Macaca mulatta: one gene and its partners. The protein of the gene in region 1 purifies or fractionates together with the protein of each later gene. This does not show direct contact. Links are inferred from orthologs where the notes say so. Each region holds a gene or a part of one and is shown in the gene's direction. Other genes may lie near its edges.

The links.
Region 2: the proteins of HIF1A (region 1) and CUL2 purify together in Homo sapiens (affinity purification with western blotting; 7 studies listed by BioGRID and IntAct, with this or other methods). This does not show direct contact. The link is inferred for Macaca mulatta from reciprocal best matches to the Homo sapiens genes HIF1A and CUL2.
Region 3: the proteins of HIF1A (region 1) and LAMP2 purify together in Homo sapiens (affinity purification with western blotting; 3 studies listed by BioGRID). This does not show direct contact. The link is inferred for Macaca mulatta from reciprocal best matches to the Homo sapiens genes HIF1A and LAMP2.
Region 4: the proteins of HIF1A (region 1) and FASN purify together in Homo sapiens (affinity purification with western blotting; 3 studies listed by BioGRID and IntAct, with this or other methods). This does not show direct contact. The link is inferred for Macaca mulatta from reciprocal best matches to the Homo sapiens genes HIF1A and FASN.

Annotation. Positions count from the first base shown.
Region 1 is NC_133412.1:134,846,884-134,851,647, forward strand, and holds part of HIF1A (hypoxia-inducible factor 1-alpha), read left to right. Parts: intron 1-933; coding exon 934-1,154; intron 1,155-2,126; coding exon 2,127-2,413; intron 2,414-4,522; coding exon 4,523-4,645; intron 4,646-4,764.
Region 2 is NC_133414.1:36,494,001-36,499,396, reverse strand, and holds the start of CUL2 (cullin-2), read left to right. Parts: upstream 1-1,701; 5' UTR 1,702-1,819; exon of another isoform or gene 1,820-2,102; intron 2,103-3,977; exon of another isoform or gene 3,978-4,068; intron 4,069-5,396.
Region 3 is NC_133426.1:126,855,143-126,859,906, reverse strand, and holds part of LAMP2 (lysosome-associated membrane glycoprotein 2 precursor), read left to right. Parts: intron 1-3,403; coding exon 3,404-3,522; intron 3,523-4,607; coding exon 4,608-4,764. UniProt on the Homo sapiens protein: Lysosomal membrane glycoprotein which plays an important role in lysosome biogenesis, lysosomal pH regulation and autophagy.
Region 4 is NC_133421.1:91,793,078-91,797,841, reverse strand, and holds part of FASN (fatty acid synthase), read left to right. Parts: intron 1-49; coding exon 50-184; intron 185-939; coding exon 940-1,402; intron 1,403-1,614; coding exon 1,615-1,802; intron 1,803-2,120; coding exon 2,121-2,310; intron 2,311-2,946; coding exon 2,947-3,041; intron 3,042-3,267; coding exon 3,268-3,402; intron 3,403-3,477; coding exon 3,478-3,681; intron 3,682-3,773; coding exon 3,774-3,889; intron 3,890-4,084; coding exon 4,085-4,257; intron 4,258-4,330; coding exon 4,331-4,522; intron 4,523-4,602; coding exon 4,603-4,683; intron 4,684-4,764. UniProt on the Homo sapiens protein: Fatty acid synthetase is a multifunctional enzyme that catalyzes the de novo biosynthesis of long-chain saturated fatty acids starting from acetyl-CoA and malonyl-CoA in the presence of NADPH.

The DNA of each region.
Region 1 (4,764 bases):
CTCTTCCCAAAGGATATCTGAAATTCTTTCTTTCTTTTTTTTTTTTTTGTGAGACGGAGTCTCACTCTGTCGCCCAGGCTGGAGTGCAGTGGCGTGATCTTGGCTCACTCCACCTCCTGAGCTCAAGCAATTCTCGTGCCTCAGCCTCTCAGGTAGCTGGGACTACAGACGTGCACCACCACACCGGGTTAATTTTTTGTATTTTTAGTAGAGACAGGGTTTTGCCATGTTGGCCAGGCTCTTGAACTCCCAGGCTCAAGCGACCCATCTGCCTCAGCCTCCCAAAGTGCTGGGATTACAGGCATGAGCCACTGTGCCCAGCCTAGATATCTGAAATTCTTAACTGAAATTAGTCAAATTATCTTGTACTGGGAATTTTTTTTTTAATTTCAACTTTTATATTTGATTCAGGGGATACATACATAGGTTTGTTACATGGGTATATCATGTGATGCTGAGGTTTGGGGTACAATTGATCCTGTCACCCAGATAGTGAGCATAATACCCAACAGTTGTTCAACCCTTGCCCCTCTCTCCTAGTAGTCCTCAGTGTCTGTTGATGCCATCTTTATGTCCACAAGTAACCCAATGTTTAGCTCCCACTTACAAGTGACAGCATGCAGCATTTGGTTTTCTGTGTCTGGGTTATCTCACTTAGGATAATGGTCTCTGGATGCATCCATGTTGCTGCAAAGAACATGATTTCATTCTTTTTTATGGCTGCATACTGTGCATTGTATTGGGTCTTTATTTTGTAATAGCATTTTAAAACCCTAAATGTGACAAAGTACACGTGAGTGATCATGCATCTCAAGAAATCCTAAAATGTTCCTGTCCATAAAGCAGAATTTTTTAAGACTTTTTGACAGTCCCCCTTCCCCTCACTGTGTCAAGTGCTCATTTGTGAATTACTAATTTCTCTTGTTTTGACAGTGGTATTATTCAGCACGACTTGATTTTCTCCCTTCAACAAACAGAATGTGTCCTTAAACCAGTTGAATCTTCAGATATGAAAATGACTCAGCTATTCACCAAAGTTGAATCAGAAGATACAAGTAGCCTCTTTGACAAACTTAAGAAGGAACCTGATGCTTTAACTTTGCTGGCCCCAGCCGCTGGAGACACAATCATATCTTTAGATTTTGGCAGCAACGGTGAGTAGTTATTTTGTTAATGCCCTAAATTGTGTCTGTTGCTACAAGCCTCATTTCAACTAAACATTACTTTGACGTTTTTTGTTGGTAATCATTTGGACATTACAAGCTAATATATTTTTATAGTTTTCTTAAATGTATTTGCTTAAATATTTTTGCCCTCGTAATTTCTTACCATTCTTGCTTTTTTATATTGTTGGAAATTGTGCTTCAAAGTGTCCTTAAGGTATTTCTTCTTCCCACATAAATTTTTCCTGGCTGCTCTATTTCTGTATCCTGCTGTCAGATTTTCTCCACAGTTTAGCAGAGTTACATGGAAGTAGGCATTGTTGCATTAAAGGATAAAAAGGCAGTCATACTATAACATGAAGCATTGAAGATGAAAACTGCAATTTTAAAGTAGAGAACATTTTAATGTATAAAAAGGTTGGTGTTGCCTTTTGTCTTTTATGCCGTAGAGATTAAGAGGAGGTATCAATAGTGGATTGTAAAGATAACCCAGACTTATGGTTATACTATACTATTATATGTAAACTTTCTGATGAAGGAAAATTTGTTAACATTTTGTTGTTTGATGAATTAGACAAACCTTCCGTGAAAAGGAACACAAATTTTTTGTATGTTAAAATCCCTGTGGCCAGGCGCAGTGGCTCACGCCTGTAATCCCAGCACTCTGGGAGGCCAAGGCGGGTGGATCACTTGAGGTTAGGAGTTCGAGACCAGCCTGGCCACCATGGTGAAACCCCGTCTCTACCAAAAATACAAAAATTAGCTGGGCGTGGTGGTGTGCGCCTGTAATCCCAACTACTTGGGAGGCTAAGGCAGGAGAATTGCTTGAACCTGGGAGGCAGAGGTGGCAGTGAGCCAAGATTGCACCATTGTACTCCAGCCTGGGCAACAGAGCAAGACTGTCTTGGGTTAAAAAAAAAAATCCTTGTATACTTTAGACTGACTCGTATTTTTTCCCCACAGACACAGAAACTGATGACCAGCAACTTGAGGAAGTACCATTGTATAATGATGTAATGCTCCCCTCATCCAACGAAAAATTACAGAATATAAATTTGGCAATGTCTCCATTACCCACCTCTGAAACGCCAAAGCCACTTCGAAGTAGTGCTGACCCTGCACTCAATCAAGAAGTTGCATTAAAATTAGAACCAAATCCAGAGTCACTGGAACTTTCTTTTACCATGCCCCAAATTCAGGATCAGCCACCTAGTCCTTCTGATGGAAGCACTAGACAAAGTTCACCTGAGGTAGGTGTCATGATATAATCAGAAAGAGACAACTTTCAGATTTTAACATTCAAGAATGTATTTATAAGTTTGACTCAAACACTCATTTGAACCACAAATTACATTTGTGTGTGTGTTTGAATTTTAGCACTTTAAAATTATTGCAAGAGCTATTGCCTAACTTAGACCTGAGCATATGTTTTAGGCTCAAAGATAGTCAGGAACATGGGAAGAAACTAGCTTAATATAAACCAAAAGGTGAAATGTACATTATTTCTCTGTATCAGTAGGACAAAAACATCCTGAATTTGGACATTTAAAGAGAATAGTACTAAGTGTGCTCAAGGTAGCCACAGCCTATACCTGTTACCCCTTTTAGTTTGTTTTATTGTGTTTTGTTTTGTTTTGAGAGTCTCACTATCACCCAGGCTGGAGTGCAGTGGTGCAATCACAGCTCACTACAGCCTCAACCTTCCAGGCTCAAATGATTCTCCCACCTCAGTCTCCCGAGTAGCTGGGACTACAGGCCCGTACCACCATGCCTGGCTGATTTTTTAACCATTTTTTTTTTTGGTGGAGTCAGGGTTCTCACTATATTGCCCAGGCTGGTTTTAAACTCCTGGGCTCAAGTGATCCTCCTGCCTTGGCCTCCCGAAGTACTAGGATTACAGGCGTGAGCTCCCATGCCTGGCCCATTACCCCTTTGAGTTGGAGAACTGTCTGGTAGCAATAGACTTAACAGGGTTTAAATGGGAAAGGACTTTATAAATTCTTTGCCCAGTTTAGTCCAATTTCCATCACTATTTTGAAATTTTGGATAAGTATAACATGAAAATAACAAGTGTTACATAAAATACTTAGTAACTGGTCTTTTTTATTCTGGATCTGTCTTGATATTAATTGTCCTATAAACACAATAAAAATAATCTTTAAAGGCTAGGCTGGCCAAGACTGGAGATATCACACAGGGCTCTATTTCTAAATCTAGAATGATTCCATTTTAGGGCTTTGTACATCTAAAAATATACTCAGTAGGACAACTAAGATCCGAACATTATAACTTGATAAATGAGGCATAAATAAGCTTTAATAAGTGGTAAATAATTCTACATTGAATATTTGTTGAATAAAACTGACAAGCTAAGAGTAGGAGATTTGACATCTCATAGCCTTGTGGTGAATGAATATATATCCTATGCTCTGGTTGCTTAATTTACCCACCACAAAAAAAAAGTTTGGTTCATCTTGGTTTTTATCTAACAAAAGTAAATCTAACAAAAACATTAGAATGAGGAAAGCAAAATTTCTTGTTTAGAATACACAGCTATAGTTTTTTGTTAAAATTCTTGCCCAGAACTCTTAAAATAGTAATAATGTACATTCGTTCAGGTATATGCAGGTAAAATAACTTAAGTTTCTACTCCCACTCCTGACAATAGCTGTGAGATTTTTACGTAGCTCAGTCACCACAGGAATGTGCCTTCTCAGTTCAAAGATAAATTTCAGTGAATGTAGCATCTAGTTAATTGGTCAATTAGGTACCATTGTGGAATGTGAATTACCAAATAGGTTTTATTCTTAGAATAAGGTGTTTCTTTTCATCTTAATTTTGTAAATGATGTTATATTACATAGTCAGAAATATGTATATTGGCAAAATTAGTTACCAGTATAAGCTTCAAAATGTCACTATTTTCACTTTTTTTTTTTTTGAGATGGAGTCTCACTCTGTCACCAGGCTAGAGTGCAGTGGCACGATCTTGGCTCACTGCAGCCTCCGCTTCCCAGGTTCAAGTGATTCTCCTGCCTCAGCCTCCTGAGTTGCTGGGATTACAGGCATATGTCACCATGCCCAGCTAATTTTTGTATGTTTAGTAGAGACGAGGTTTCACCATGTTGGCCAGGATGGTCTCAATCTCTTGACCTCGTGATCCACCCGCCTTGGCTTCCCAAAGTGCTGGGATTACAGGCGTGAGCCACCAAGCCCAGCCTAGTTAAATAAAATTTGATAAACACGATGGACTTGGTTGTGTGTTTTCTGGTTTTTCTGAGATCTAGTTTGAAAATTCTGACAACTAGCAAAGTATATGGAGGCTTCTTCAGGAAATAGTAAACGTATTTCTTTTTACAGCCTAATAGTCCCAGTGAATATTGTTTTTATGTGGATAGTGATATGGTCAATGAATTCAAGTTGGAATTGGTAGAAAAACTTTTTGCTGAAGACACAGAAGCAAAGAACCCATTTTCCACTCAGGTATATTAACTTGTTTTATATTAAATTTCATTAATTTTTAGTCTGAAGTAACTTTGAGTTTCACTTGTTTTTTATTTATAAAGTGTAGCCATTGTAAAAACTCATGTATTTGCTGTTTT
Region 2 (5,396 bases), on another chromosome or scaffold:
GACCCTGTGTCAAAAACAAAAACAAAACAAAACAAAAACCGGGGGGGGGGGCCTGGCACGGTGGCTCAGGCCTGTAATCCTAGCACTTTGGGAGGCCGAGGTGGGTGGATTGCCTGAGCTCAGGAGTTCAAGACCAGCCTGGGCAACATGGTGACATGGTGAAACCCTGTCTCTACAAAATACAAAAAATTAGCTGAGTGTGGTGGCGGGCTTCTGTAATCCCAGCTACTTGGGAGGCTGACACAGGAGAATCACTTGAATCCAGGAGGCAGAGGTTGCAGTGAGCTGAGATCATGCCACCACTGCATTCCAGCCTGGGTAACAGAGCAAGACTCTCTATCCAAAAAAACAAAAACAAAAAAGGACCAGACATGTTGCATTGTTAACAAACTAGTTGTTAACCTTGTGACCTCTGTAAAGGTCTCAGGGATTTCCAGAGGTCTGGGGACCACACTTTGAGAATCACTAGATTAAAAAGGAGGAAACACGGAAGGAAAAAAAGGTCACATAATGGAAACATATTGTTGAATTGAATTTAGTGTATAAAAACTCTTTAATGAAATAAAGAGTATAGACTTCAAGTACTAAGAGAAGCTAGAAGAGGAGGGATCCCTACAGTCCCTACAGAAGACTGTAGGGATTGATCAGGTCAGGAGGCAGGGTTTTAAATGGGCCTTGAAGGGTTGGTGCAGTTTGGAAGGAAGGGATGGGAGGGAAAAGCTTGCTGAATGGTATAAATGAACAAGACCCTGATGGTGAGCTCTTGAGGATATGAAAGGCAAAAAAGCACTACGGAGGGGCTTTTGTTCCCCTGTGGCCCTGCATATATGAGGAGGTGATGAGTAATTCTACATTTTTGTCAACTTTACCGTTTAAAACTCCAAGGGAGGAAAACCCTTCAAACTGATAGGCTTGGGGCTTGGTGAAGTTGGGCTATTAGTGACAAAGATGTGAAGTTTCTTATCGAAAATACATGTATGTCCAAGAAGTTCTCTGTAGATAAAAACTAACTAGAAAAAGAGTTTGTCAGAGAGGAGAAGTAGTTTTACTAATATATTTTTGATCATTTGCAAAGCCCATGGAAGTGTGTGGCAAGACGATTGTGGTGTCTTAGGATATTCACAGAGGTCTGAAACAAGGAAAACATACTTCTGTTGAAAGCACCATTCCAACATATTGTTATTATCAGCCCCTGGACTAACGGGTAGTGAGTGGGTACTGTGTCCATCAGCTCAGCGAACCGCAATTGCCTCATTGACAGCAAGCCCAGCAAGGAATCACTTGGAATATTAATTTTCGTGGCCTTTCGCAATCACATAAAGCTTGGCTCCCTGCGCTTGCCGTAATGCGGCCTCTACCATTGCTTTCCGGCGGCGGGGGGGGATTTGGCAGCAGCGGAAGAAGGAGACCGGAGGGTGTGTTTTGGGGAAAGCCGGAGGCAGAGGAGGACGATTGTTTTACGAATCCCGTGATCGGCCCGTCCTTCTCCCCTTTCCCCCCTCCCTACCGCCCCTGTCCCGCCGGGCAGCGGTGGCGGCCTTGGACTTCGCTGTCTTTCCTCGCGGAGACAGGTGAGTGTCGGCGCGCGGGCTCCCCGGGCTTCGCTCCCCACCCCCCGCGTCTCCGGGGCCGGTGGCGGCGGCCGGCCGGGGAGGCGGCCTCGGCGCACAGTAATGGCAGCGCTGTGAACAGGGGAACGCGAGCTGACAGCCGCCGCCGCCGCCTCCGCCCACCTTCCTCGCCGGGGCTTCGTCTTTCACTCCTTCGGGCTGCCTCCCCCTCCCCTTGTCCCCTGCCCCTTGCCCTGCTTCTGCAGAAGGTAACCCCGCTGAGGGTCGGGGAGCCGGGCTGCAGGCGCCGGGAAACTTCCCTTCCCGGTTAATGGGTGGCGGGGCTGGGGCGGAGGAGAGGAGTTGGGGGCGACGAGGTGTGGGGAGAGGGATGAAACGGGGAGGCCCGGTAAGATGGTATCCCGTAAGTGACCTCGGCTCCCCAGAGCGCTGACCCCTAAGCCCTGCCACCCCCTGGACTGGATCCCGGGCCTCCCCAATCCGATCTTGGCCGCCTCTCCCGCGGCCCCATTTTCCTCCGAAGGAGGGAAGGTGAGAGTGCGTGTACTCTTCTAAATATTTACGTGCTCACACGAATACACAACTCTGTGTGTTTGTGTGTGTGTGGGGGGCATCTCATGCATCCTTACCACGAGTGTTTTCACTTTTGTTTCTGCAGACTGCAAAGATTGATAGCTTTGGGGAGGAGTATCCTACGTGCATGCTAGCTAGACCTCTTGTCTCAACACTTAGGGTCTGGTGAAATAAGATCCTCACAGGCTTTCTAGCACTTGCTTACCCTCTAGGGAGTCTGGACCATTCCCTACCATTACGTGCATGCAAATAAAACATCTGTGAATTGCAGACTGTTATTAATGTTAAGCCCACATCTTTGCCCCATGGATTAATATTAACAGTTGAAGGCCAGTACCCTGGGCGTTTAAATTTTGAAGATAAGATGCAAAATATTAACATTCGCTATAGATTGTGACTGTTCAACATAAACGTCTTTGAACTAGACCTGGCCCAAGCCTACCTTCGTAGTAAAGTATGGGAAATAATCACTTTGATCTGATTGACAACTGACTACATAATAATCGCTTAAAAACATTCAAAACACTGTTGCCTACCCTTTAGAATCTTACATCCCTTTTCAAGACAAACACATGAACATAAATTAGCTATACTTTGCTTCTTTTGCCCATATACAGTATCTGGAAGATGCGTACAAAAGAGTCACGTGAGGTAACAGAAGTACACAGTTTTTTTGTTTTGAGATGGAGTTTTGCTCTTGTCGCCCAGGCTGGAGTGCAGTGGTGCCATCTTGGCTCACTGCAACCTCCGCCTCCCGGGTTCAAGCAATTCTTCTGCCTTAGCCTTCCATGTAGCTGGAATTACTGGCATATGCTACCACGCCCGGCTAATTTTGTATTTTTAGTGGAGACGGGGGTCTCACCATGTTGGCCAGGCTGGTCTCGAACTCCTGACCTCAGGTGATCCCCCTGCTTAGGCCTCCCAAAGTGCTGGGATTACCGGCCTGAGCTACAGCACCCAGCCCACAGTGTTTTGAATTACTTGTTTTTTTCAGTTGCTGTTTATGAGTTGGGGGAACATTTCTACAATGTGCATGCACATAGCGTAGGAAAAATTCCTTTTCAATTGCCTTTTGAGTATTTGGATGTTCTCCTGCATCTGAAATACTCTCCATTCTCTATCCTTTCTGGTGGCTTTAAGTGTTCTATAATTGTGAAGATTATCCATGTCTTTTACCCTCAGCAGTTTGTCACTAGATTAAATGTTATGGACCTTCTTTAAAGTCGTTTTTGTGTTGTCTGTCAGTTGACAAATATTTATTAAGTACCTGGTTTATTTGTCAAGCAGTGCTGCAGGCATTAAAGATACAAGGGTAAACAAGACACATTACATTTTTTTTTTGAGATGGAGTCTTTCTGTCACCAGGCTGAAGTGCAGTGGCACGATCTCGGCTCACTGCAACCTCTACCTCCCAGGTTCAAGCAATTCTCCTGCCTCAGCCTCTTGAGTAGCTGGCACTACAGGTGCATGCCACCACGCCCGGCTAATTTTTGTATTTTTAGTAGAGACTGGGTTTCAACCTGTTGGCCAGGATGGTCTTGATCTCTTGAGCTCGTGATCCACCCTCCTCAGCCTCCCAGAGTGCTGGGATTACAGGCGTGAGCCACTGTGCCTGGCTGACCCATTAAATTTCTATCCTCGTGGAGTGTCAATTCTGGCTTGGGATGGAGAGACAGATGGTAAATAAGAAGTAATCTCAGAGAATAAGTGCTGTGTGGGAAATAAGGTAAGGAGTTGTGGTAGTAATTGGGGGATTACTTCAGATACTGTAACCGGAAAAGACCTTCCTGAGGTAAAGTTTGAAATTCTGAGGGAAAAGTTTTCCTGTTTTAGGGAGGAGCAAATGGAAAAACCCTGAGGTGCTATCAAACTTGGATCCAACAAACTGAAATTGGCTTAAGGTGGACCCTTATAGAGATTAAAGGTGGGTCCTAGCCAGGGGCTGGATCATGTTGGCTTTTGTTCTTATGATACATTAAAAGGCTTTTGGAACTCTTCTAAACTGGGAGTGATAAGGTCTGATTGAGAATCAGACTCAACTGGAGAAGAGGAGAGATGCAAGGAGACCAGTGATAAGAGCAGTGGCTGTGGAGGGTTAAGGTACAAGTGACAGGTTTTGAGATTTATTTTGGAGTTGAAGATACTTATTGAAATTGTCATGTTTTAGATGAGCATGCAGTGGGACAGGGGTCACTCCCGGGTTTTTGGCTTCCGCTGGAGAATGATGATGCTGTGTACTGAGATGAAGAAGGGTGGGGGGAAGCAGGCTGTTGTATGGGATGGGGTTGGGTTGGACATGTTAAGTTGGATCTCATTGTTCAAGTGGAGGTGAGAAGTAGGTGATTGGAAATAAGTGTAGAACTTAGTGAGAGGTTGAGGAGTGATTAACTCATTGAACAAGGGCTTCTCAAGCACCAGCTTTAAACCAGATGTGTGGATATAGTAGTTTAAAAATCTCTGGCTTCATGGAACTTAACTTCTAGTGAAGAGAGAAAGATGGATATGGAGAGTCCTCAGCATTTATTTATTGGTATACTAATGTGTTTAACAAAAACTATATTCACGTGACTCAAAATTTAAAATGTTAGTCTGGGCAACATGGTGAGACCACATGTCTACAAAAAATAATTTAAAAAAAATTTGCCAGGCATGGTGGCACATGCCTGTAGTACCCACTATTGGGAAACTGAGGCCAGATGCCCAGGTTGGAAGTGGCAGTGATCTATGATTGCACCACGGCACTCCAGCCTGAGTGACAGAGTGAGACCCTGTCTCTAAAACAAACAAACAGAAAACCAAAATATTCAACTGTTAATAGGGAATAGAATGAATATCTCTCTCCACTCCTTGTACCCTTGTCATCCAGCTTTCCTTGGAGCCAAACATTGTTAGCTGTTTCTTAGATATCCTTGGAAAAAATATTTGTGGACATATAAGCAAATATTGTCCCCACTTTGCAGAAATGGTAATACACTTGCTTTGACATTTGTATTTTTTAGAGTGTTAAGTAGTACTTAAGTTACGAAATAGGATGAGAACACAGAGAATGTAGAAAGAAGAGGAGAAAACTGGAGTACTGCAGTGTATTCTGATTTGGTCCCTGCCCTTGTTAAGTTCATTTGTTTATTTATTTATTTATTTTGAGATGGAGTCTTGCTCTGTCACCTAGGCTGGAGTTTGAATTTTTAGTAGAGATGGGGCTTCACCATGTTGGCCAGGCTGGTCTCATTAAGTTTTTGACCTACAGGTGTG
Region 3 (4,764 bases), on another chromosome or scaffold:
TGGTCTCGATCTCCTGACCTCGTGATCCACCCTCCTCGGCCTCCCAAAGTGCTGGGATTACAGGCTTGAGCCACCGCGCCCGGCCATGATTTTCTTAACATTTTCTTTTCTCTAGCTTTATTTTCAAAACACAGTATATAATACATATATAACATACAAAATATGTGTTAATTAACTGTTTATGTTGTTGGTAATGCTTCCAGTTAACAGTAGGATATTAGTAGTTAAGTTTTGGGGGAGTCAAAAATAATATGCAGATTTTCAACTGTGCAGTGGGTCAGCACCTGTTCTGGTAATGTTCTGTTTCTTGATACAAGTGGGTTTGGTTTGTGAAAATTATTTGAGCTGTAGACTTAATATTATGTGCACTTTTCCCTTACATCTGTTATACTGTGCCTGTTTCTGTACATATGTTACATATGAAATGTTTATTAAAGGGGTATATTGGGTAACTCAGAATTTCTGGTGCTCCTGGCTATATATACCAAATCCCAATTCAGGATTCAACAACCCAGATCATGCCACTGAACTGCAGTACCACTGCCAAGTGTGAAATTGCAGCTTGCTCTGCTGGCCTTGTTGCCTGGGAGCTTGATCCTGCTTCTGCTACTCCACACCTGCCTCCCAACCTGTTCCATTCCTGGCTCCATTTGCAGCCCTCCTTTCAACGTGTGGGGTGGATACCTTTGTTAGGCAGAGCCTAGCACAAGTGGTCCTCCTTACTGCAAGGGAGTCTGTGAAAGCAAGTATCCAGTGTTTTCAGCTTTTATAGTGGGTGGTGATTTCTGCCAGAAATTGTAACAAGGGGACAAGGGGTATTTCAGATTTGGGACAGCCAAAAAGAGAGGAAAATCCATCTTTGAGGTGAGCATTTAGGCCAGTAGAAGAAAATAGACTTCAGGTGTTAGGAACAATAGAAGCCCAGGGTAGAGGTTGAATAGAGTATGGCATTTGAGCCCGGTGGAAACAAGTTTAACTGGATTACAGGGTGTGCTCTGGGAAAATAGTTTGAGAGAAGTTGAAGCAATAGGATGGGACAAGATTAAAGATTACTTTGAAAGTCAGGCAGAGGAATTTAAATTTCATATGGGAATTTTGGAACCAGTAAAAGTTTTTGAACAAGAAAGTGTCGTAAAAGGAAATGGTGCTTAAGGATTGTTAATCTGGCAGCACTTCTAGGGGTATCTAGGCATTGTTTGTCATAATTTAGGTATGGGGTGATAGATTGGGAGTAGAAATAAAAGGCAAAGATTGGATTTAAGAGAAGATTTGAAGGAAAAAAAATCAACAAGACTTCTTGAAGAGAAAGAAGTAGAGGCTATTTCTGAAACTGAGCTTGAGTGACTGATCCCACTCTTCATTTAGAGCTAGCGAGGCTGAGGAGGGACCCAGTTTGGGGGAAGTAGAAGAATGAACTTTAGTTTGAGAATTGCTGAGTTTGAGGTGAGAGATATTGAGTAAAAGTGGTCCCTGTGTAGTTAGAGTTGGGGACCAAGAAGTGGAAAGAATTGTACTCCCAGGTATAAAGGCTGTGAAGGGAATGGAACAGAGTGTGCCAGAACCCTCGGGGTGTTTCTGAGCTCTTGTTTACAGGCCACCAGGTATACTATCTTGAATTTGATTTCAAGTGATACATTTGAACCACAACCTCTACCTTCTGTTTCATAAAACGTCAGTTCTCACACCCCAAGACACATTGATGCTATCCCTATTATACATGGTCTTCTTCCTGTTATTCTAATATCTTTGGAAAGAAAACGATTAATACATTTGAGGCTTTTCTTGGTTATTTTCAATACTTTTGAATGCTTTGAATACAAGGAGAATAATATACTAAAGCTAGAGACCTTAAACAAGACCAAGAAAGACTGAATATAAAAAGCAAACCTCCAGTTCATTAAAATTGTAAGTTGGAGCTCTTGGCTCCACGGCAGGGAGCCTTGGATCAGTAAGTGTGACAGCTCCCTTCCGTATTGTACTTAGAAAAGAATGATCATAAAACCTACTTAGGCCTCACAAGGTCTTTTTGAGCCTTAGCCAATGCATTTAGTCACTGTCAGTAACCACAAGCTTTAGTATAATATTCTGGCTTGCAAAGCAGCCAGGTCTCCAGAGCATGACGATAGGCTCTTGTATACGACTTGAATGCTGTTGCCGAGGCATACCTTCTTGATATTCATCTTAGCACTTTTCTCGAGTCTATAGCATGTCCGTACCTGTAGATGACAGTGGATTGCTCAGATATTATTAAAGAGTATGCAAGTATCTTAACAGGAAACAGCTTACTCTTTGGGTAATGTGTGATACAGTGAAGAAAATCCCTTAAATGGTTGCTCAATATTTATGCTGCTGGCATGTGTGCTGGAATATTTTTTCACCTCTGAATTCGTATTTTGAGTCCTTGGGCTCTTCAGTTTAATAGGTAATGTTTCTGTGTTTAAGTGTAGAAGATCAATCATGTTAGCTGAAAAGTCCCAAGGCTTTTCTGTCTCTGTAATATTTCTCTGCCTAAAGAGGTAGCAGGTTGAAAATTTAGGAAGTAACTCTGTGTCAAAAAATTCATCAGCCTTTCTAATCAATTAGATTTTAAAGTGAAACAAAGTGATAAACTTTGCATTTATAAGAATTCATGTTTTTCTTACGGATTTAACAGCCCTTTGCAACTCTGCTTCCTTGGTTACATGATACTCGGAAAGAATATCTGATCACATCAGAATAAAATCGTTTGAGAAGACATCCATGTGTCATAGGTTATGTAGCTTGCAGCAGGATTTAAAGCAACAAGATGATAGAATCTATCATTATTTTTGCAGACAATGTTTCACCAGCTGGTTTGAGAGGAGTTTTACACCCCTACCAGGCTTTCTCTTACCTCATTTACCTCAAAAATCACAAGTCCTAACAGGCAAACTGTAATAGCCTAAAACAAAACTAGTAAGGTATAAATGCATGTGGAAATGATTATTTGAAGGCAAAAGGCAAATAAATGTCACCAGTCTGAGCCATTACCTAAGCATCCTAGGTCTAGTAACCATTCTTTTGGTAAGGGATAATGCCAACTTTTTATCAATAGGATTCTGTTAAAAATACAAAGAAAAACAGTCAGCAGGATACTCTCTATATATATACACATACATATATATACATATGTATGCGTATACATATATATGTATGGGTATATATATAGTATCCTGCTGACTGCATGTATATATATGTGTGTATATATGTATGTGTATATATATAGTATCCTGCTGACTGCTGACATATATGTATGTGTATACAGAGATATACTTTTGTTTCATTTTAGAGCTGGTTGAACTTCAGTGGTGGATAGAGCTTGTTTTTAATTTATATGTATTTTTGTAGTACAATTTTAAAATCTTATTTTTTAAAATAAATCCAGGAGCTGTGCAGTCTTACGCATTGGAACTTAATTTGACAGATTCAGGAAAAGCCACTTGCCTTTATGCAAAATGGCAGATGAATTTCACAGTACGCTATGAAACTACAAATAAAACTTATGTAAGTATATATTTTAATTTTTCTTTGAGTTTTATAGTAGGAATTTAATTGACTTTTTTAATCCTTTAGATACATGTATACAAATGAAATTCCACATTGACTGACTTAATGCTTAAACTCTGGGAGTTTTTTTAAGCATATACACTCGGAAGTTATTCTGTTTAGTGTTAGAATGAATATTTCTTCTGATTCATTGGTTCTTGGGAGTTTTTGCAGGACTTGATTAAGGGCAAATGATCTGAAGATGACTATATGGTGTTCAGGTCTAACTATTTCTGTAAAGTGTTTAAAATGTACTAGCACCAAAGCTTGCCCTTTTAAAAAATAGCTTCCCTTCTGGGCGTGGTGTCTCATGCCTGTGATCCCAGCATTTTGGAAGGCCAAAGCAGGAGGATTGCTTGAGCCCAGCCTTGGCAACATAGTGAGACCTCATCTCTACCTAGAAAAAAATTTAAAAATTAGCCAGGCATGGTGGCATATACATGTAGCTCCAGCCACTTGCCAGGTCGAGGGGGGAAGATCGCTTGAGCCCAGGAAGTTGAGTCTGCAGTGAGCGATGGTTGTGCTACTGCACTCCAGCCTGGGCAACAGAGCGAGACTCTAGCTCAAAAAAAAAAAAAAATGCTTACTTAGGTTGGTACAAAAGTAATTGCCATTAAAGGAACAAACCACAATTACTTTTGCACCAACCTAAGTAAGCGATTCTTTTTGGCACAAACTGCAATTACTTTTGCACCAACCTAACACTAAAATCTCCCCCTTTTTGGTGTCTCCTCTTAATCCCTTTGCCTTCTTATTTTCTTTTTGTTAAGGTCATGACTAGTTACAACCTAATTTTTTTAAAAAATCAGTTTAAGAACAGCAGCTCAAGCCAGTTTTCCTTTTCTTTTTAGACATACATGAATTTATCCAGAGGAGTGGTATGTAGCTGAAGAATCAGGGACTGGTTTACACAGCAAACCAGGCAAAGGGCAACCTGGCCACGGAGAATGTATGATTTAGGCTGAAGTGGCATGCCCTGCATAAATGGTTGGTGCTACTTGCTCCCTGTTTGTTTCTCACCCCCAAATTTCTATTTCTTTTAGAAAACTGTAACCATTTCAGACCGTGGCACTGTGACATATAATGGAAGCATTTGTGGGGATGATCAGAATGGTCCCAAAATAGCAGTGCAGTTTGGACCTGGCTTTTCCTGGATTGCGAATTTTAGCAAGGCGGCATCTACTTATTCAATTGACAGCA
Region 4 (4,764 bases), on another chromosome or scaffold:
TGGAGAGGTGGCCTGGCCAGAGCCCCTGACCCCCCCGTGTTTCCCACAGGTGGGTGACCCCCAGGAGCTGAATGGCATCGCCCGAGCCCTGTGCGCCACCCGCCAGGAGCCACTGCTCGTCGGCTCCACGAAGTCCAACATGGGGCACCCGGAGCCAGTCTCGGGGCTGGCAGCCCTGGCCAAGGTAGGTGGAGCTGGGCTTGGGGGTCCCTCAGCCCCCTGCTCCCTGGGACTGGGTTGCGCCATGGCTGGGCACTGCTGCTTCCCGTTTGCCAAGTGGAGGCAGGGGCTTCCCCACCAGGAACCCCTGTCCCCCGGGCTATGCTTCGGGTCTGAGCAGAGGCACTGAGGCTGACAGCAGGGAGAGCTCATAGCCAGGCTCACTGGACCTTCCCTGGGGGTCTCACGTCCTGCCGAGCGCCTGCCAGACATGGAGCGAAGCTGGAGGAGCCACTTGGGTTGGAAGAGCGAGACAGAAGCAGGCCTGGGGGAGGTCAGCTGCAGCATCAGGGTTTCCCGTGTTGCCCACCCGTGTCTACAGCTTCCCGACCCACTAACAGAGGCCTGCGGCTCTTCAGAGACCAGGCACAGGAGCCCCGACACCCACAGTCACTCGGGCCTTCTGCAGCCTCTGAGATGCAACATCTGGACCAAGGGGGCCTTAGTGTTCAGGCCACAGCCAGGCTTTGGAGGGTCCACATCAGGCTGGGAGGCAGCAAGGCCCGAAGGGGAGGTCTTGGACCAAGCTGAGGGCAGGGCCACGGCGGCTCAGTCATCAGACCCCTGTGCCATGGCAGGATTAGGTTGGGGACAGGAAGTGTGTCGGAGAGGGCCCTGGAACCCTGGCCCCACGTGAGCGTCCCGGGGCGGCGCCTGCCCCCAGCTCAGGCAGCAGTGCAGGGAGTGGGGCGGCTGCCCACCCACCATGTACCCCCACAGGTGCTGCTGTCCCTGGAGCACGGGCTCTGGGCCCCCAACCTGCACTTCCACAGCCCCCACCCTGAGATCCCAGCACTGTTGGATGGGCGGCTGCAAGTGGTGGCCCAGCCTCTGCCCGTCCGTGGTGGCAACGTGGGCATCAACTCCTTTGGCTTTGGGGGTTCCAACGTGCACGTCATCCTGAGGCCCCACACGCAGCCGCCCCCGGCACCCGCCCCACACGCCAGCCTGCCCCGTCTGCTGCGGGCTAGTGGACGCACCCCTGAGGCCGTGCAGGAGCTGCTGGAGCAGGGCCTCCAGCACAGCCAGGAGCTGGCTTTCCTGAGCATGCTGAATGACATCGCGGCCATCCCCACCACGGCCATGCCCTTCCGCGGCTATGCCGTGCTGGGTGGCGAGCACAGTGGCCCAGAGGTGCAGCAGGTGCCCGCTGGCGAGCGCCCACTCTGGTTCATCTGCTCTGGTGAGCCCACACTCTGTCCCCAAGGTGGTCCCTTCTCTGGGGAGAGGGCAGGCGAGCTGGAGCCGGTGGTCTCCTGAGGTGCTCTCTGGGACAGGGATGGGCACCCAGTGGCACGGGATGGCGCTAAGCCTCGTGACATACTCTCTGGGACAGGGATGGGCACGCAGTGGCGCGGGATGGCGCTAAGCCTCGTGACATACTCTCTGGGACAGGGATGGGCACGCAGTGGCGCGGGATGGGGCTGAGCCTCATGCGCCTGGACCGCTTCCGAGACTCTATCCTGCGCTCCGACGAGGCTGTGAAGCCGTTCGGCCTGAAGGTGTCGCAGCTGCTTCTGAGCATGGACGAGAGCACCTTTGACGACATCGTCCACGCTTTCGTGAGCCTGACTGCCATCCAGGTAGGACCCAGCTTGCCCGTGTGTGTGCAATGCCAGCGCAGGGCTCTGGCTTTCCCTGGAGCCCAGGAGCTGCAGTCTCTAGTCAGGACCCTGACAGCCTCTTTGCCGGGCAGAGCCTTGTGCTGGGGGTAGGACGGGAGCAGGGAGGGGAGGGGTCTCAGTGGGGCCTGGGTGCTGGGGCCACAGGGGCTTCTCCTGCCAGGAGACCTGGGAGGGTCGATGCGGCCGGGGTGGAGATGGCCCAGTGGGGCCGGGGGGCCGCCCCCAACAGCTGCACCTGCTGGAGGTTGCGAGCTGAGTGTCCTGTTTCTACCCCAGATAGGCCTGATAGACCTGCTGAGCTGCATGGGGCTGAGACCAGACGGCATCATCGGCCACTCTCTGGGGGAGGTGGCCTGTGGCTATGCTGACGGCTGCCTGTCCCAGGAGGAGGCCGTCCTCGCTGCCTACTGGAGGGGGCAATGCATCAAAGAAGCCCATCTCCCACCGGGCGCCATGGCAGCCGTGGGTAGGTGTCCCCGAGGTCTCCCAGAGGGGCCCCCAGCACCTCCAAGAAAGGAGGCTGCCTTCTCGCTGTGGGGTCCTCACCTGCAGCCCTGGCCTGGCCCCTGTAGGATAGAGTGGCCCCCGCTGGCCCAGGGACACCCAGCTCAGACACAGCCGTGCGCAAGTCCCCGTGCAGCTGCCCCACTGCTCCCACACCTGGCAGCCTTGGGCCTAGGCACGTGCCCATGGGCATCAGGCCTGCATGGAGCCCCCTGGGACACAGCCCCGGCATAGTAAGAACCCAGGGGCTTTAGTGAAGCCAACACACAGGTCGCCAGGGTTCCCTCAGACTGGTTGACACCCATCTCAGCCCTGTGGGCCACATGTGGGCAGGGCTTGGAAAGAACTGGGACTGCAGAGGACTGAGGGGCCACCATCTGGGACTGGGCTCCCAGGAGCTGCCCCTGGCAGCTCTGTAATGACGCCTCCACCCACGGGTCAAACACAGCAGGGGGCGAACGTTTCTCATGAAGGCTCCAAGGCTGCCATTACTACGCCTATCATTACTGCCCCCAGCTGCAGGCGGTGTCCTGGGTAGGTGGGTGGCTGGGAGCGGCTCAGTCCCCACGCTAAGCCTCTGAGGCTGGCTCTGCCATAGGCTTGTCCTGGGAGGAGTGTAAACAGCGCTGCCCCCCGGGCGTGGTGCCCGCCTGCCACAACTCCAAGGACACAGTCACCATCTCGGGACCTCAGGTGGGTGCTGCGGCCCAGGCTGGCTCCTCTGTCCCCTGCGCCTGCCATTGCAAGTCTGGCAGGGACATGCGGCCACGGTCTATGCCCTGTGAGGCTCTGACGGGCCTGGGGATGGGGCAGGCTTGTCCCCAGGTCCCTTGCGCATTCCCTCTTGGTTCTCTCTACCTCCCTGAGCCTGAGGTGGGTGCCTGGCCAGGATGCTCATCCAGGCTCCCACGATGCCCAGGCCTCTGTGTTCGAGTTCATGGAGCAGCTGAGGAAGGAGGGTGTGTTTGCCAAGGAGGTGCGGACCGGCGGCATGGCCTTCCACTCCTACTTCATGGAGGCCATCGCACCCCCACTGCTGCAGGCGCTCAAGAAGGTGCTGACTCGGCCCGGGGGGCGCGGGGCGGGCCGGGGTGCCCGTGACCCAGCACTGACCTGGCCCCTCGTGCAGGTGATCCGGGAGCCGAAGCCACGTTCAGCCCGCTGGCTCAGCACCTCCATCCCCGAGGCCCAGTGGCACAGCAGCCTGGCACGCACGTCCTCCGCCGAGTACAATGTCAACAACCTGGTCAGCCCTGTGCTGTTCCAGGAGGCCCTGTGTCACGTGCCCGAGCACGCGGTGGTGCTGGAGGTCGCGCCCCATGCCCTGCTGCAGGTAGGCCCAGCCTGGGGGCGGCGGGCGCCGGGAATCTGGGACGGGCACCTCGGCTGAGCACCAAGGGAGCCCACGCGCCCTGCCGCCCCCAGGCTGTCCTGAAGCGTGGCCTGAAGCCGGGCTGCACCATCATTCCCCTGATGAAGAAGGATCACAGGGACAACCTGGAGTTCTTCCTCACCGGCATCGGCAGGCTGCACCTCTCAGGGTGGGTCCCTTCCCATCGCGGGCCTCATCTCCTGCAGTCGACGGCGTGGGGTGGGTGAGCAGGGCTGCCGGACCCTCACTGACCCAGGCTGGTGGGGGCAGCCCTGGATGGTCCACCACAGGGAGTGGGTCGGCTGAACCCAGAGCCCCTGGACCCCGGTGACGGATGTGCCGCCTGTGCCTCCCTTCTTCACAGCATCGACGCCAACCCCAATGCCCTGTTCCCGCCTGTGGAGTTCCCAGCTCCCCGAGGAACCCCCCTCATCTCCCCACTCATCAAGTGGGACCACAGCCTGGCCTGGGACGTGCCAGCTGCCGAGGACTTCCCCAACGGCTCTGGTTCCCCCTCGGCCGCCGTCTACAACATCGGTGAGCAGGGGCCCGGCGGGTGGGCAAGCTCTTCCCTCCCCACACCAGTGCTGAGGCCTGTGCCCTCCTGCAGACACCAGCTCCGAGTCTCCCGACCACTACCTGGTGGATCACACCATCGACGGCCGCGTCATCTTCCCCGCCACTGGCTACCTGTGCATAGTGTGGAAGACGCTGGCCCGGGCCCTGGGCCTGGCCGTGGAGCAGCTGCCTGTGGTGTTTGAGGACGTGGTGCTGCACCAGGCCACCATCCTGCCCAAGACTGGTGAGGGGCACCCCAGGACCAAGGCGGGGGCAGCTGGGGGCAGGTGCTGCCCTCTGATCTCTGACTCTCCTGCTCTGCAGGGACCGTGTCCCTGGAGGTACGGCTCCTGGAGGCCTCCCGCGCCTTCGAGGTGTCACAGAACGGCAACCTGATAGTGAGTGGTAAGCAGGGCTGGTGGCGTGGGAGCTGCGGGGGCTGTGCCCGCTGGCCATGCCACCCGTCTTCAGGTTCTTCCACACCTG